Astyanax mexicanus: one gene and its partner. The protein of the gene in region 1 purifies or fractionates together with the protein of each later gene. This does not show direct contact. Links are inferred from orthologs where the notes say so. Each region holds a gene or a part of one and is shown in the gene's direction. Other genes may lie near its edges.

What was found. The genes of interacting proteins can lie anywhere in the genome.
Region 2: the proteins of cdk16 (region 1) and ccnyl1 purify together in Homo sapiens (affinity purification with mass spectrometry; 4 studies listed by BioGRID and IntAct, counting the BioPlex papers as one, with this or other methods). This does not show direct contact. The link is inferred for Astyanax mexicanus from reciprocal best matches to the Homo sapiens genes CDK16 and CCNYL1.

What each region holds. Positions count from the first base shown.
Region 1 is NC_064419.1:4,685,105-4,692,833, reverse strand, and holds the start of cdk16 (cyclin-dependent kinase 16), read left to right. Parts: upstream 1-4,297; 5' UTR 4,298-4,733; intron 4,734-7,729. UniProt on the Homo sapiens protein: Protein kinase that plays a role in vesicle-mediated transport processes and exocytosis. Regulates GH1 release by brain neurons. Phosphorylates NSF, and thereby regulates NSF oligomerization. Required for normal spermatogenesis.
Region 2 is NC_064418.1:11,190,482-11,198,687, reverse strand, and holds the start of ccnyl1 (cyclin-Y-like protein 1), read left to right. Parts: upstream 1-4,605; 5' UTR 4,606-5,698; coding exon 5,699-5,852; intron 5,853-8,206. UniProt on the Homo sapiens protein: Key regulator of Wnt signaling implicated in various biological processes including male fertility, embryonic neurogenesis and cortex development. Activates the cyclin-dependent kinase CDK16, and promotes sperm maturation.

The sequences.
Region 1 (7,729 bases):
ATTTATATATGGGTGTAGACAGGTGAATTCAATATTCCGGTGATTGACTTACTGGAGGTGTCATGTGCAGGGACATGTGGTCGCGTTAGAAAGTGACGTCAGTGCGTGGTGCGTTCTGGGTAACGTAGTCCAGAGGATGGAGAGCTGTGCTTCCGGCGCCAAACGCTATAGAACACCACAGAAATAAAACATGGATATAACTTACAGTAGTCAGTCTATAACATATATAGCAGTGCAGATTTACTGGCTCACCTCTGAAAAAAAATAACTTCATTCACTGCTATTAATGTCTAAATATCTGGCAACACAAGTGAATACACCTCAGACTGAACAGTGGCTCTGTGCTTTGATGGCAGTAGCCAGCCCTCGACCTCCTTACTAAACACTGCCTACAGCTGGCCCACAGTGGAAGTTCACCATTAGCATTAGCATTAATTAAGCCAAGGTCAGACGTATGGGCTTGGCCTTGCCAACAGCTAGTGTTGCATTTAATTAAGTTCAGCTGCACACAGTCCACACACTGACCAGCTTTTAACCGAGACTGGAGAACATTGCCCACATGCATGTGCATTATTTACCCCTCTTTCCCACTATTTACACTCTACAGGCATGCTATTTTTTCAATCATACTGATTTCATTGTTATATTTTATGATGCTCTTTAGGTGCTATACACCAATAAGTCATTACAATAAAAACACTGACTGATAGTTAAGATAAATAACATCTAATGATCCGGTCCCAATAGAACCTAAAAAGAAGTGAGATCTGTAAATTTTATGCAGCAAGTGAACAGTAAGTTTTTGAAGTTGATGTCCCTTATAGCAAATTTACTCTGGTCCAAATCTGGCCAAGACCACTGATAACATCTGTAACAAATCTGGCAGATAAATTAGGCCTGGCTTATTTTTGCACAGAGAGTTCAAACTTGCACAGATATGTTCTGCACATCTTATTTGATTGGGGCCAAAACTAGCACAGCTCTATACTGAATTTTATTCTATTATTTTTGCACTATAAGGATTATAAGGCACATTATGCGACAATAGTAAGGAACATGGGTGTCACCATGTTTTCCATCCAATTCAGCAGATCTTGCCGCTGGGTGGTGGTGGGGGGTAACTGTTAATTTGAGTAAGTAAAGCGCTTCTTTTTATTTACAGTAAGCTTAGATTTCCAGATTTTCACTAAGGCTGGGTGCAGCACTAGCTGTGCTTAGTGCTAGTAAATGTCGCCTGACAGCGATACGCTGAGGAACCCTATGTGTTCCGGTTAGCCAGGGTGATATTAGGTAGCATTTTTTTCCCACACAGCTTGTTTTAACATGGTAAACACGCAGACTACAGTCTGATATACTTGCCTCTGAACAGAGAAAAGGCTAGGGCTTTGCGCGGTTAGCAGCTAATGCTGCTCCAGCATTGCTAGCCAGGGTTGACAGCAGGCTACAGGCCAATAATACTCATCTTTGAACAGCGAAAGAGCTAGCGATTAGCGTGGTTAGCGGCTAATGCTAATACTGCTCCAGTCTCGGTGCTGAAAAAACTTCACTGAAACTCCTGTATAATTCTGTACTTAAGCGGAGAGGCTTTACTGCTCCTTACAACCTGATTAGTAAAATTCATACATAAGGTGTTCCAGATTATAAGGCTTACTCTTTATTTTTGGGAAAATTTGAGGGTTTTAAGTGCCCCTTACATATAAACATGCTCTAATAAAATATTAATTGATTTTAATGTCCTAATGGAAATTACTTGAATCAAAGGAAAAGCCTACAAATTACTTAAATTGTTAGATATTAAAAAAACGAATAAACATATTAATAAACTGTTTTAAACAGTAACTTACACACAGAAATCCTCTAAATAAGTGTTTGTGTGTCTGTGTTTTACTACTACCTGCTGTTGTGTGCTACAGGTAAGTTAGCTAGTTAGTTAGCATTAGCATTAGCTCAGTGTTATCTCAGACATTTAGTTAGCTAACTAACAATTGCTAAGTATAAAAAATGTAGCTTACCTGGAAAATAGTGTGAACTCCTTCCTTTTCCCCCTCAGTTTTGTCCTTCCAGCAAAATTGACGCCCAAATTATTTATGCACTGTGACTGGAACTATTTAATTAATGTATATATGATAAACATTAAACATAAATATTCTAACAACTAATGATATGTATATTTATTAACAATAAAATATATATTTTTTTTTACCTACATTGTAAATGAATATTTAAGTCATTCAGACTATACAGGAATGCATAAGGAATCATGTAGTGACTTAAAATGTTAAACAAACCAAAATACTCTGTGAAGCATTTAGGTGGTTTCTGAGGCTGGTAACTCTGACAAACTTGCTCTTTTAGTTTTATCATTACATTTTTTAAGGGTCTATGCAACTGCAGTTGAGGATTCTTTTAATGTTCTTGCCATAATATAGATTAGAACATTACTTAAATAGGTATATTCACTGTATACTAACTCTACCTCTTCTCAACTTTACAACTGATGCTCTTAAACACATTAAGAGGCAAGAAATTCAGGTAATTAACTCTTGATACAGCACAGCTGTTAACTGAAAGCCTGAATTCCAGATGACTCTACCTCATAAAACTGACTGAGAAAATCCAGCCAAGATATGCAAAGCTATCTCTATCTAAGCAAGAGGTAAAAAATATACAACATAATTTTTTTTGTTTATTTAAAATAATCCATATGCTTTTCTTCATACTTTGGATAACTTTAGATTTCAGTATCTACAATGCAGACAAATGTTAAATGACGATTAACCACAGATTTTTAAGTGCCTTCAAACTTTGGACTGGTATAGTATATTTTATTTAATATTTAGTAAATCAGAATGTTCTTTTAGCATTTTTAGCTGCTTTTATTGGAACTCTTACTTGGAACATTCTGTCTCACTCTCTCTAGAGGAGAGTCCGGATTGGTAAAAAGTGGAATATAGTGCACAAAAGATGTGCTCCAGGCCCACACTCTTGCAGAAGAGTGCTTCTAGGGGAGAGTGAAGGAGAATGAGCAAAAAAAAAAAAAAAGAAAGAGGGAGAGAGAGAGAAAGAGAGAGAGAAAGAGAGAGAGAGAGAGAGAGAGAGAGCACTAGAGCTGCTGGGGGCTCTAGTGAGTGCATGCCAGAGCTGTGAGTCACTCAGGGGCTCCACTGGCCTGGTTCTGACACCCCCACACCACTAACACACACACTAACACACACACACTCTACTTTCTCTATCTCACACACTCTCTCTTACACACCACATGGTCTGTAGGCCGGTCAAGCTTTCCAGGTTTTAGGTTTCCCCTCCTCGTCCCCATTCAAAGGCCACATGGCCACGTTGACCCTTTATAAATCAATATTTTAAAATGGATATTGATAACCAAGCATGCTTTTAGAATCACAGTAATAACACACAGTCACATAAATGCTCTCTCTCAAAATGGTATGCTCTCTCTCTCTCTCTTGCTCTCTTTCTCTCTCTTTGTCATATACAGTCTCTCTCTCTCTTACACACCACATAGTCTGTAGGCTGGTCAGGCTTTCCAGATTTTAGGTTTCCCCTCCTTATCCCTGTTCAAAGACCCCATGACCCTTTATAATTGAATATTTTAAAATATGTATTTATAACAGGTCAATCTTTCTAGGATTTAGGTTTCCCCTCCATGTCCCCATTCAAAGGATACAAAGTATGGGCTTACCTTCTATAGATCAGTATTTAAAACTGATTTAACACTAATAAACAACTAGAGCTGGATGATATGGCCAAAAATTAAACCACATTTTTTACACACATCTTTTTGAACTGCTGATGCAGCTTCGCGGAGTAGCACCACAGTGCGCTCGGAGGAAAGCGTACCAACTATCTTATACATCAGCTCACAGACGCCTTGTGCTGATCGACATCACCCTAGGAGTGATGAGGGGAAAGAGTGCCATCTACTGTACCCACCCAGAGATAGGGTTCCAGCAGCTAATGGCTAGATGCATGACTGGAATTAATCATTTCAAACTTAAATTTAAATTAAAATATCAGTAAAAAATATAAAAATAGATACAAATAAAACTTGAGGTTTCATTGATAAGAAATTAAGATCAAAAGAAGATAATAATAACAACAGCAACCTGTGTAGAACTTCCTGCAGGCCAGGCTTAACCACTATTGAGCGGAATCCCTGCGATGAGAATTCCTGGCTACAGAGGAATCTCGCTCCGGGCTGCTCCCCTGAGCATTCGGCCTGAATGGTACGGTCTGACTTGGCTGAATGGAATTTGGGTCAGTCCACTGTGCGCCACTTCCACTTTAATAGGGGGGGACGCGTTGTCTTCGCAGGCCTGTACTGTACCGCGGCGTTAAGCAACGTTTAGGTAAACACCTCAAATTAGATCTCAGGACTGTCAGCCATGTCCAGGATGTGAAACAGCGCGGCGTCGGGTCGTGTTTAGGGCTGCTTTGTGAGTGTGTCCCTCCCCACCTCTCCGGCTGGGCTGAGTGAGTGACTCCGGATCTATTCGCAGAAGCCCCGGACCGAGCGACTGCTCCGGATTTGGCCAGGCGGAGGGAGCGGGGTAACAGCTGCTGCTCTGAAGGGTTTTGGCGTGTTTGGAGAGAGAGCCTAGCTGACCATGCTGCGCGCCTGGAGGGCGCTGAGAGTCATGGCCGAGGACTACTGGGAGCACACGGCGGCTTTGGGACATTGCTAAGATTACAAGGGCACGACGGGATCTCGTCCACGGGTAAGAAAGAGCAGGGGCTCGAGGGTTTTTCACCATACGTGGTTTACTAGCTAACCTAGTGATATTAGGTCACGAGCTGGGAATACTGTTGCTTTTGCCCCAGTGCACCATAACGTTACATACGTACATACATAAATACATAAGTACATACAACTAACCTAACCTAAGATAGTTATCTAAGCTATCTATCTGCCCATGCCAGATTGCTGAGCAGCTTCAGCTCCAACACTTCAGAAACAAATCTGGTCCTGGCACAAGTCGTATAGAGCTTTAGCTAGCTATGCATGCATGCATGTAGCTGTATGTGCAAGTGTAGGATTTTTTAATGCATGCATCTACAGTATGAGGTTGGCATTGCATTGGCTAGGCAATGGTTGCTTTGTATTGGCACTGGAATGCATTGAATAGTAATTACATTGGAATTTTTTTAATTCAAAGGGTTAGTTAAAGGCTCGAGCATTTTGCACCATATGTGGTTTACAAGCAAGTAGCTACTAGTTACTTTCACCATATGTGGGTTTTAATGGGACCACCTTTGCTTTTGGCCCTAATGCACCACACCATACACACAACTAGCTTAAATGCATGCATGTCTGCATGTACAGGATGAGCTTGGCTATGCATTGACATGATAAGTAATTGAATAGCAATTGCTGTAAACATTTAATTCAATTCGATAAGGAGACAGAGATTTTTCACCATATGTGGTTTACTAGCTGTTCAGGACACAAACTGGAACCACTTTTGCTTTTGCCCACAATGCACCACACCATACATACAGACAACTACATCTAACTAACCTAACCTAGGCTAATAACTATGCCAGATTGCTGAGCAGCTTCAACACTTCAGAAACAAATCTGGATATGGCACAAGTCGTCTCGAGCTTTAGCTTGCTATGCACACATGCATGCATATAGGTTATGTATATGTGCAAGTGTAGTATTCTTAAATGCATGCATGCATGTAGCTACAGTATGAACTTGTCATTGCATTGGCTAGGCATTGGTTGCTTTTGCATTGGCATTGAAATCGAATAGAGAGAGTAGAAGGGTCAAGGATTTTTCACCATATGTGGTTTACTAGCTAGTGAGATCAGGACCCAAACTGGGACCACTTTTGCTTTTGCCCCCAATGCACCACACCATATACACAACTAGCTATGTTATCTAAGCTATCTATCTGCACGTGCCATATTGCTGAGCAGCTTCAGCTTCAACACTTCAGAAACAAATCTGGATCTGGCACGAGTTGTTTTGAGCTTTAGCTAGCTATGCATGCACTCATGTATGTATATGAGCAAGTGTAGGACTTCTACATGCATGCATTTTTGCATATACAGTATGAACTTGGCATTGCATTGCCATTGAATTGCAACTGGGGTGGAATTAAATTCAAAGCAATGCAATGTGATGCATGGTCAGAGAATGAGAGAGAAAAAGGGAGCAGAGGGCTCAAGTTTTTTTAACCATGTGTGGTTTGCTAGCTAGTGAGATTAGGGCATAAACTGGGACCACTGTTGCTTTTGTCCCAATGCACCACAACATAGACACTGCTACCTAGCTAACTACCAAAACTAAGCTATCAATCTGTCCATGCCAGATTGGTGGTGAATTGCAATGGAATTTAATTCAATGCAATGCATGGTTGCAAACAATTGAGGGTCCATGGACCAGAGAATAAGATCTGGATCTGGCACAAACAGTCTAGAGCTTTAACTTGTTATTCAAACATGTTTGCATGTATATGTTCAAGTATTGTACTCCTTAATGGATGCATGTGTGAGCTTGGCATTGCATTGGTTACTTTGCATTAGCATTAAAATGCTTTGAATAACCATTGCAATGGACTTCACTTCAGATCAGTGCAGTGTAGTGCAGTGCAATGCATGGTTGCAAATGATGCAGTGCAAAAGAGGGGATTGGGCACGGCAGAACAGGACAGATCACCGGGCTAACACTTCAGCTTGCACTAATTCCACTCAACCAGCTGGCTATAACTGGAAACTGTTAGCTAACCTAGCTCATGCAGCTCAGATTGATCAGCAGCAAGCCGCAGAGCAGAAATGCAGGAGCTGTGTGTTATTGGAGCGCGTGGCTTTGCTGTGTCCATCAGCTCTCTACAGGAAGAGGCTGTGTGCATGCATGAGGACGTACAGCAGGGATGCATTTTGCCATGCGTGCATTAAATCAGGAGTCAGATGAAGTAATTACTGGTGAGCTGCTTATACTGACACATGCAGTGAATGACAGAGCACTTGAGTGGGCTTGCCTCCCACATGCAGATTATAATGCAGCGTGTCCCCTGAGATAAGACTGGGGCTGTCAGTCAAGTGCTCCTCCACTGTACATTGTAGTATTTGTTTACTTGCTTTGACATACCTAAGCTTTATTACTAAATTGTGTAGAAATAGTTGGATACTATGCTGTCTTTTTTGATATTGAAACCTGGAGTTTTGTGATATAATATATTATAAATAATTAATATACAATATAGTACTACACTAGGTATTAAACCATATAATACAAAAATATATATTTTAATTTATATGTATTTATATTTTAGAACAAAATATAAAAACACTGGCACTTTCTTTATAATAAAAAAAAGGTTTTGACAAAAAAACTAGGCTGTCTTACACATAGCACATAGGGCAAGTCCTATGTGTAAAGATGCGCAATCTATAATATATAAAATAAATATATATACAGCTCTGGTTCTCAGTTTCTCAGATTTTGCTATTTATTAGTATATGTTTAAGTAAAATAAACATTGTTGTTTTATTCTATAAACTACGGACAACATTTCTCCCAAATTCCAAATTAAAAAAATGTAATTTAGAGCATTTATTTGCAGGATATGAGAAATGGATAAAAAACTCAAATAAGGCAAATAAAACAAGTTCATATTTATAAAGTTTTAAGAGTTCACAAATCAATATTTGGTGAAATCACCCTGTTTTTATTCACATTTTTCATGTATGTGCTCTCAGTATC
Region 2 (8,206 bases), on another chromosome or scaffold:
TTACACGGTTATTTAAATTAGATGATTCTGTTGCCAGCACAGTACTGAGTGTTTTAACCACCACAGTACAGCAGGATTGTGCGATTTAATGCACTTCCGTTAAGTATCTAGTTTCTGCACATTTTCTACAAGATGAGCAATTCACAAGGTGCAGGGGATCCAGACGTTGAGTTTGTGGAACTCATTATTGCTGAAATCAAGGCTGTAAACCTGGCTCAGGCTGCTCTCGCAGGCCCACCACAGTGATTCCTATCTTTGCACAACCAAACCTTTGTGGTGAGGCTCAGTTTGGAGATTAATTAGCTATTTAATCTGAAATGGTTAAACATGGTCAAGATTTTTACGTTTCTTGGACTTGAATTCTTCTGTTTGTTTGTTTTTATACAATTTGTTAAATCTGTTGGATTACTTGTGGCTTTTTAACTCCACTTTTTGCTTCATCATACAGAACTGAAATGAGTATCATCCTCTATAACAAGTATTAATATCTCTCTTCGCAAATATGGCATGTTTAAACTTGTTTTTTTTGTATATCATTTTTAACTTTGATATCTCTATGGTTATTTTTGCATTGTGTCACAATGGATATGGATTCAGTGTCTTTGTATTTGATGCATCAACGCGTAAATAGAGGGTACAAATATATGTTGTTAGTCTACCATGACTGTTGCATTTTTGGCAGCTATTTCATAAAAAAGACGTGTGTTGAAACCAGCGTTTAGTTGTATGTGTCATATTTCAAGTCACAGATTTTCATATCAGTCATTTTCTGTACTGAAAAAATGTCTGTTTTCTATGTGTGTCAAGCCCCACAATTCACTCCTGTACCATTTAAATCTCTCTCTTGGTGGTGTACAGTAATTCAGCATTGTTTTAAGCAGAAAGCAACTCAAGGTTGGAATCACAGGGCATCTCACAAGATGATTTCATGATGCATTGCTCACTATATATGCAACATCTGTGGGCAAATGTACCAAATATATCCATGTTAGAGGTGTCTAACAAGGTACTAGCCATGCTAAAAAAAATCAAACACAGTTAAAAGGAGGTTCTTTCTCCCTGCTAAAAAAAATCTAGCTCAAGACCAGCTTGTCTTCTGAAAAAAAAAAGCCTGTGCTGGTTGGCTAGCTCATTAACAAGCTCTTCACCAGTATAGGGTATGTTTTTTTTTTCTGGATAAATAGCTGGTCTTAAGCTAGATTTCTTTTTTTTAGCAGGGAGAAAGAACCTCATTTCATTTTTAGCTACTGTTTTCCACAGTAAACTAGTAAAATCCTTTTACTATAATATTGAACATAATATTGAATAGTACATATATCATCATTACATTCACACATGGAGCCTTATTCCCTTCCAACAACTCCTACTTTGTGTATTATATTTTGTCAATGAGTGTAATTTGTAACATTTTAGCAATTAATACCCACCCTCTGTGTCTGTATTCAGGTAGTCTTTCCTTCTGTTACGATTAACACTGTTTTTAAGGTTGTTTATATTGTACAGTTAATGTTAATCATGAAACTGAAGCATAAGGCCAGAAGCAAGTCTCCGCAATAGTATAAAGTTATCCTTTAACTCAGACTGTAGAATTATCAGTAGGGTACAATCCAGCCTGCCAGTGGTGTTGTACCACCGGACCAGAATGCGACAAATTGGATAAGTAATCTCTGAGCAGCAGGCTTTTTCCAGTACAGATTTGAGTGCCCTCCAAGAATATGCAATTTGACACAGAACACCTTGGGCCTGGACTTTCCTGTAAAACCAATTATTTTCTGACAGGTGAACATTCCTCTCTGGAACCTGTGACTGGGATCCGTTCCCTCTGTGAGAGGATTTGTTCCGTTTTGCAGATAAAGCTGAAGAGAGCTTGGAATGGGAAAGGTCTCACTGGAGGTAGTTCTGTGTTAGGCCTCTCTATAAACTCAAGCTTATTCTGACTTACTGAGTTACAGGGGAAGGGGTGGCTAAGGAGGTCTGAGTTATACATGCTGAGTCATTTCTAAATAAAGACAGTAACGACAAACAGCTGGTTAGTTCTTATTTAATCTAACCAAAAATTTGCAGTGTATCTTCAAATATCATGAAAAAAAAATAGAACATATTTTTTATAATATAATCTTTGTATTCATAATATAATTAGAAAAACTAAACTCTCAAGATTTATATTAATTACACAAGATATTACAAGTGACATATTGCAAGACTTTATTATATAACTTTACATCAGTGTGGTTTATAGCTTATAAAAATCCAGCATCTCCAGCTATTTAAAGACTTCCTAAGATAAATTTCTTTTTACCCTCAGTAGTGTGTAACACTGGGTCACACTGGGACACTGATGTGCCCGTGCACACTATGTATTCTGGTTATTGTTGATGTAAAAGTTGGGTTTGTGCACTGCTGCGTGTTGCCAAGATAGTAATGAACATCTGTCTGTTGATGTCTGTCTAAGTTGCTTTCAGCCAGTGGTGCACCTGTGTTTTTTGCTGCCAAGATAGCAACACGCCAGAAATATACCTGAACACACCTCACTTCCCGACCACCATGGCCATCAACAGAAGACATGAAAATGGAGTATTAGTGGGGTGTAAGATAGCAATTTTTGATTAGTAGAACTGAACGTTCTTAGAGCGTTCAATGTTCAATGAGCAAGTTTTCTGGGTGTCTTTATTTAATGATTTTAAACATTCTGGAAATGTTGATGCAACATAACTTGTGTCAGTGTTTTCACCTTTAGTTTTGTGACGTTAATTTTAAAGTTTCCATAACATTAGAATTATTCTAGCTGGAAACGTTATGTGAGAAATGTTATAATAACGTTGTGATGCAAAACAGTATCATGGTTTACATTATTATTACTGAAACATAATTTCTGTGACATTACAGGCTAGCCTTCCTGGAACCTTTGTAAAACATTGTGAAATGTTCTTATAACTTTAGCTGGGATACCATCAAGTATATCAAACTTAAGTGAACCCATAAACTAGTCTGGCCAACAGTCTGTATCCAGCTGCCAGAAGAAGCTGATCCACGAGCTGGATTTCACAGCCAGGCCACATAGTAATTTCTTTCCCCATCGCAATTTAAATATTTAATCAGTGTTTTATCGGCTGTGTAGAATCAGATCTGGGAGACAGTGGCCTTCATTAATCAGCATGAACAGACATGCTGAGGAGGCGGGAGAGGAACTGGCATCCTCCGTCCACCATACTGAGAATCGATGCAGTTGATCCCAGATGATATTTCACACTGTTCTCATGAATCCAGGACACAAATAGAACTTTAATTCAGTTCTGTGCACCCAAGCCACTCCAGGCCTCTTCAAATCATCTTATTAAAGAGGTCAGGTTCAAGTCTCTGCTGCCAGTTACAGGCTGGAAGCCCTGTTTTATTTTCTAAGTGTGCCACATAAGAGTATAATTATATGTGTTGTACTTACCATCTATGTTTGCATGCAGTGTAGCATACAGTATTTTATATTACAGTATTTTATTAGCAGCTTCACAGTACCAGTCCAAAGTTTGGACACACCTCTTTTTATACACTTTTTAAAAGCTTTTTTACATTGTAAATTTAATGTTGAAGATTATATGAAAGCTATACAGGTACACATGGATAATTATTCACTTTTTTGTTCACTACGAAAACAATGTGTCCCATAAGTGTATACTGTATAACATCAGCACTTAAAAACATTATTTAGGATGTTTCAATCTTTCGACAAATCATCATATTTAAGATTTCAGACTACACAGTAATAATATTTTCCGAGCTTAATCACTTTTTAATTTCATTTTCATTTATCCATACATCCACAATGTTTTTATTCTTAGCAATAATACAAATAATACAACTGATACTAAAGTGCTAGTTCTTATAAAAGCTATAGATATAAAAATAGGCAAGATGATAGCTATTTGTGAAACAGGCGGGATGACTCCAACACATTTAGTGGCAGCACTCTCAACCAATAGGTTTTTTTGTTATAACTACACAGCCAATAGTATTCTCAGGAAATGAAAATGGGGCGGGTACTGATGGCATCCGTGGGAATTGACCATAGACTGGGTCACGCAACATATTGAGTGGCAGCGCTCTCAGCCAGTAGCCTTGCGCATGAGTTCACAACCAATAATTATCTGAGAAATTGAAAAAGGGGAGGATACTGGTGGAGTCCGTGGGAATAGACCATAGGCTGGATATGGAATAGACGGTCAGAGATAGTATAGTGAAATAAGTCAGTCTTGGAAAGACATAGACGTTTAACTGGTTTAAATCGGTATTTACTCATTCATAAAAAAAACATAATATAATAATTAATGTTTTTTTTTTATTCGTAATAATAACAATAATGCAAATATATATACAAATACGTATGTGAATCGTAGTAAGTAATTTTAGCAGTTACTAATACTAAAGTGCTTGTCCTAATAAAAGCTCTAGCTGTAAAAATAGACAGGAAAATACCAGCTGTGTTAAATAGGAGGGATAGCTCCAACATATTGAGTGGCAGCGCTCTCAGCCAATAGGCTTGAGCTCTTGAGCCTTTGTTATGATTTCACGACCAATAGAAATCTCTGGAATTAAAAAAAAAGGGGGCGGGTGCTGATGGCGTCCGTGGGAATAGAAGAGTAGCGATAGTGGCCGGTTGTAGTGGAGGAGGAGGAGACAAGGGCTAGGCTTGGAGAGATAGAGGAGAAGTTTAGCTAGCGGCAGCTGGTTTTAACTGGGGATAAAAGCAGGACCGGGAGATTTTATCCTGGATTTATTCATTCAGAGGGGAAGAAGGAATAGCGTGCCTCGGCTTCTGCTGGAGGTGGGCCTCGGCCTGAGCGCCGGGCTACTGGTGGATAGCTAGCCGCCGAAGGCTTCGAGCTGCCCGGATGCTCAGAGCTGCCTGTCCGCATCTCTCGCCTTGCTGGAGCCGGCACTCTTCTTTTAAAGCCGGGCTGCGGGTCGCCGAGGACGCCAGTGCTCAGGAGAGCTCAGGCCTTTGAGGGGACGGCTTAGCTGGCTTAGGAGCTAGCTAGCTTAATTCTGCTGCTTTGGCGCAATAATGCTGGTAGTTATAATGCGTCCAGCAGCCCTGTTAGCGACGTTAGCTTCGTGAGGAACGGGGTGGGATATTAGCTATTGGGACATGGGTGGACAGTCTCGAATAAGAGGGTGGATATGTGGCTAGTTAGGTCAGCTAGCTAACTAATGAAGTAACTGGCTAGGCTAACTAAATAGCTAACCTATCTTAACTAACTGAGGTGTTATTTAGCTAGCTAGAGTGCTGACAGTGTTTTATAGTCCTGTCAGAACGAAACGTCTCTTTAGAGTGAATAGAAACATCAGAGTTTTGGCCAAAAGTGGCTAAAAGTCGTGTTCGCTGAGGTGCTAGTTAGCAAGCTAGCCAGTCAGGCAGTTTTCCTCGACCTAAGCTAACGTTAGTTCAATGAACATAGCACCTAAAATAGACTGGAATGCTTGCTATTCCTTGATGTTATCTAGCTAGTTAACCTAGCTACGCTAGTGTTTTAGCCCTCTGCCTTCAAATAGCCAACTACGCTTAGCTAAGCTAAGCTAGCTACGTTTCATTCACTGGAAGCTGCCCCCTTTAATTCCAGTCTAATGTGCCGCCAGTAAAAGCAACCGAGGCAGCTCCTCTCCTCCTGGTGTTCATTTCAGAGGACTGTTTTGGGAGCACTGTGTCATGGGCAATACAGTATCGTGCTGCGTGTCTCCCAGTGGGAGTCCAAAGCTTCCACGCCAAGCAGATCGCTTGGAGGACTACCAAATAAACACAGACTTGAGCGACGACACGGGTCCATACCTGCAGCACATCAGTGACAGAGAGCTGCCGGACGGTAGGTGTTTCCATCTATAACCAAGCTAACTACACACTGTAGGTAAGCTAACACTAGGCTGTACCACTCAATAGATCTTCAGCCTTTCTCCTGGAGATCCAACCCTACCATCCCCTGCAGGTTTCATCATCTCCCATTCAAGGACTCCTGAAGGCAGTGATGATGATGTTCAGTTCATGTGAGGTGGATTAGGTTTGGAGCCAAAGGCTGTGGGAAGGAGAAGTTGAGGATTTGATTGCATTCGGCCGGAGCAGCCTTAGTGAGACTTAGTGAGACGGTGGATGATTAACTTTTTGGTTTACAATTGCCCCTTCAACATCTCCCAGGAGTTTTTGGGATGAACTTAATATGCTTCTGGGAGATGTTTGGATTGCGGCATGATGGACCTTAACTCTCTCTTATTAAAAATGGAGAGAGTTACCCATGGTGGGTATCTTTATCAATAGGCAGTCCTTTTGTATGGAGGTTGTCCAAGCCACAATGGGTGGGTGGGTGTATCCTAAAGTAGAATCCCACCAGATTCCTTTTTGTACAGATATTTTGTCTTTGTTCTTCGAACTTAGTTTTAAGGCATGTCATGGAAGAGTATATTTTAAGTATTGGGTGCCTGAGGCAAAATTGTCTGTTAATGATTAAATATCTTTACTGCATTTACCATTCAACTTTTGGTCAGGCACTGGACACTGTTTTACCATAAATTTGTATAATATTTTGACCTAAAACATATTAAGTAGATGGTTGGAATGGGAAAGAGTAAACATATTGGCAATGATTATTGTTAATGAAGGTCATGATTCCTGTGGCTGTCTCTGTTTTAATAATTTATAGTTTTAAGAGTTCTTAAAGTGATGAAGTTATGCATGCGGAAGGGTGGAGTGAAAAATGGCCCCAAATGGAAAACTTCAAATGTCTAAATTTTAACTATTTAAAATATGTCCCTATTATACAGCTAAACAAAGCTCACAAGACGGGTAGATTCATTGGTGAATCTGGAGATCCTAAAAATGTGGTGGAATCATTCTTTACTGTAGCTAAGATCACTATTTCAAAGTGGTCTTTAGATGCTTTTGGACATATTCTTAATTTAATCAGGGATTGGTGCATGTCTTTGGCATCCCCCTCACCCCAAAACACACACAAACACTCTTATCCAGTTTCCTGAGCTCCTCTTCTTGCGACTCGGGTTACTCTTGAGGGCTCCACTGCCGTTATTCAGTTACAGAAGGGGAGTTCTTCTTCATGATCAACAACTCTGATCAAAGTAGGAGCCAACGGTAAAAAGCACTGGAGATGTTAAAACTGAAAGCTGCTAGTTGAGAGCATGCCTCTCGTTTGGGGGGTAGGTATGTCCCTCTGGGGCTGTTAGGAGAATTTACTGCTGTTTACTTTACCCCCAGGGGAGCCCTACACAGAGGTAGCATCCTGTGCAAGCACCTTTTGGGTCATGCGTAGTCCTATTGACTTTAAGAACTATGGGTTTTCGAAAATCTTGATTAATGGAAGTTGCAGTATTATGTATTGCAAAACTTTTAACAGTCCTTTGAGACTGTCAGAAAGCTGTGTTAAACTTTCTTCAGATTTCACTGTTCAGGGTTTTAATGCTATGGTATTTTTTTACCAGTATAACAGTATGTAAATTCATAATGTCTTACTTCAGTTTTTGTTTAGGAAATGCCTACACTTGTATAAGTAGTGAGGTGTTATATAGTGAATGAGGTTCAACACTGATAGTGGATGCCAGATGGATGGGAAATAAAGTTTCAAACCTAAAAGGAGATTCTGGCAGAAATCACATCTATGTTCAGTTCAGGAGGCCATATGCAGTTCTTTAACTTCGTACTTACTTGCTTAGTCCTCACTGTCCCTTATGGGACCTCTGGCCGCTTCCATGGGGCATGGTAAAAGTCATGGGACATTTTAATACTTCCTCTTGCAATTTTTTTGCAACATCAGTGTACATTCCCTTGATCACAATATTGCAATATGTTACAGAGCAGTGGTAGTGTACTTCGTACACTGCTCTACCAGGAGCGCAACTTGAAGACGGAAAGGGCATTCCAGTCTGTTCCCTTGAGTTTTGCCAGACAAAAAGAGGAATGGGAATGCACAGTGGGCCAGCAGAGACGTCCAAATATCTGCACAATTTGTGGCATTCCATTGAAGGTGGGACAGCTGTACTCTTACTGCCCTCCCTTCTCTCATAGGATCAGCTGAAATAGTTGCATATAAATATTACAGGGGACCTTCACCAGATTTTTAAATTTCCAACAATGCAGTGATTAAGATTAACCCATTCAGAGTGGAGCTTTGGTGTGAAATTATGGTTCTCATGAAACCCACCAACTATTTGTATT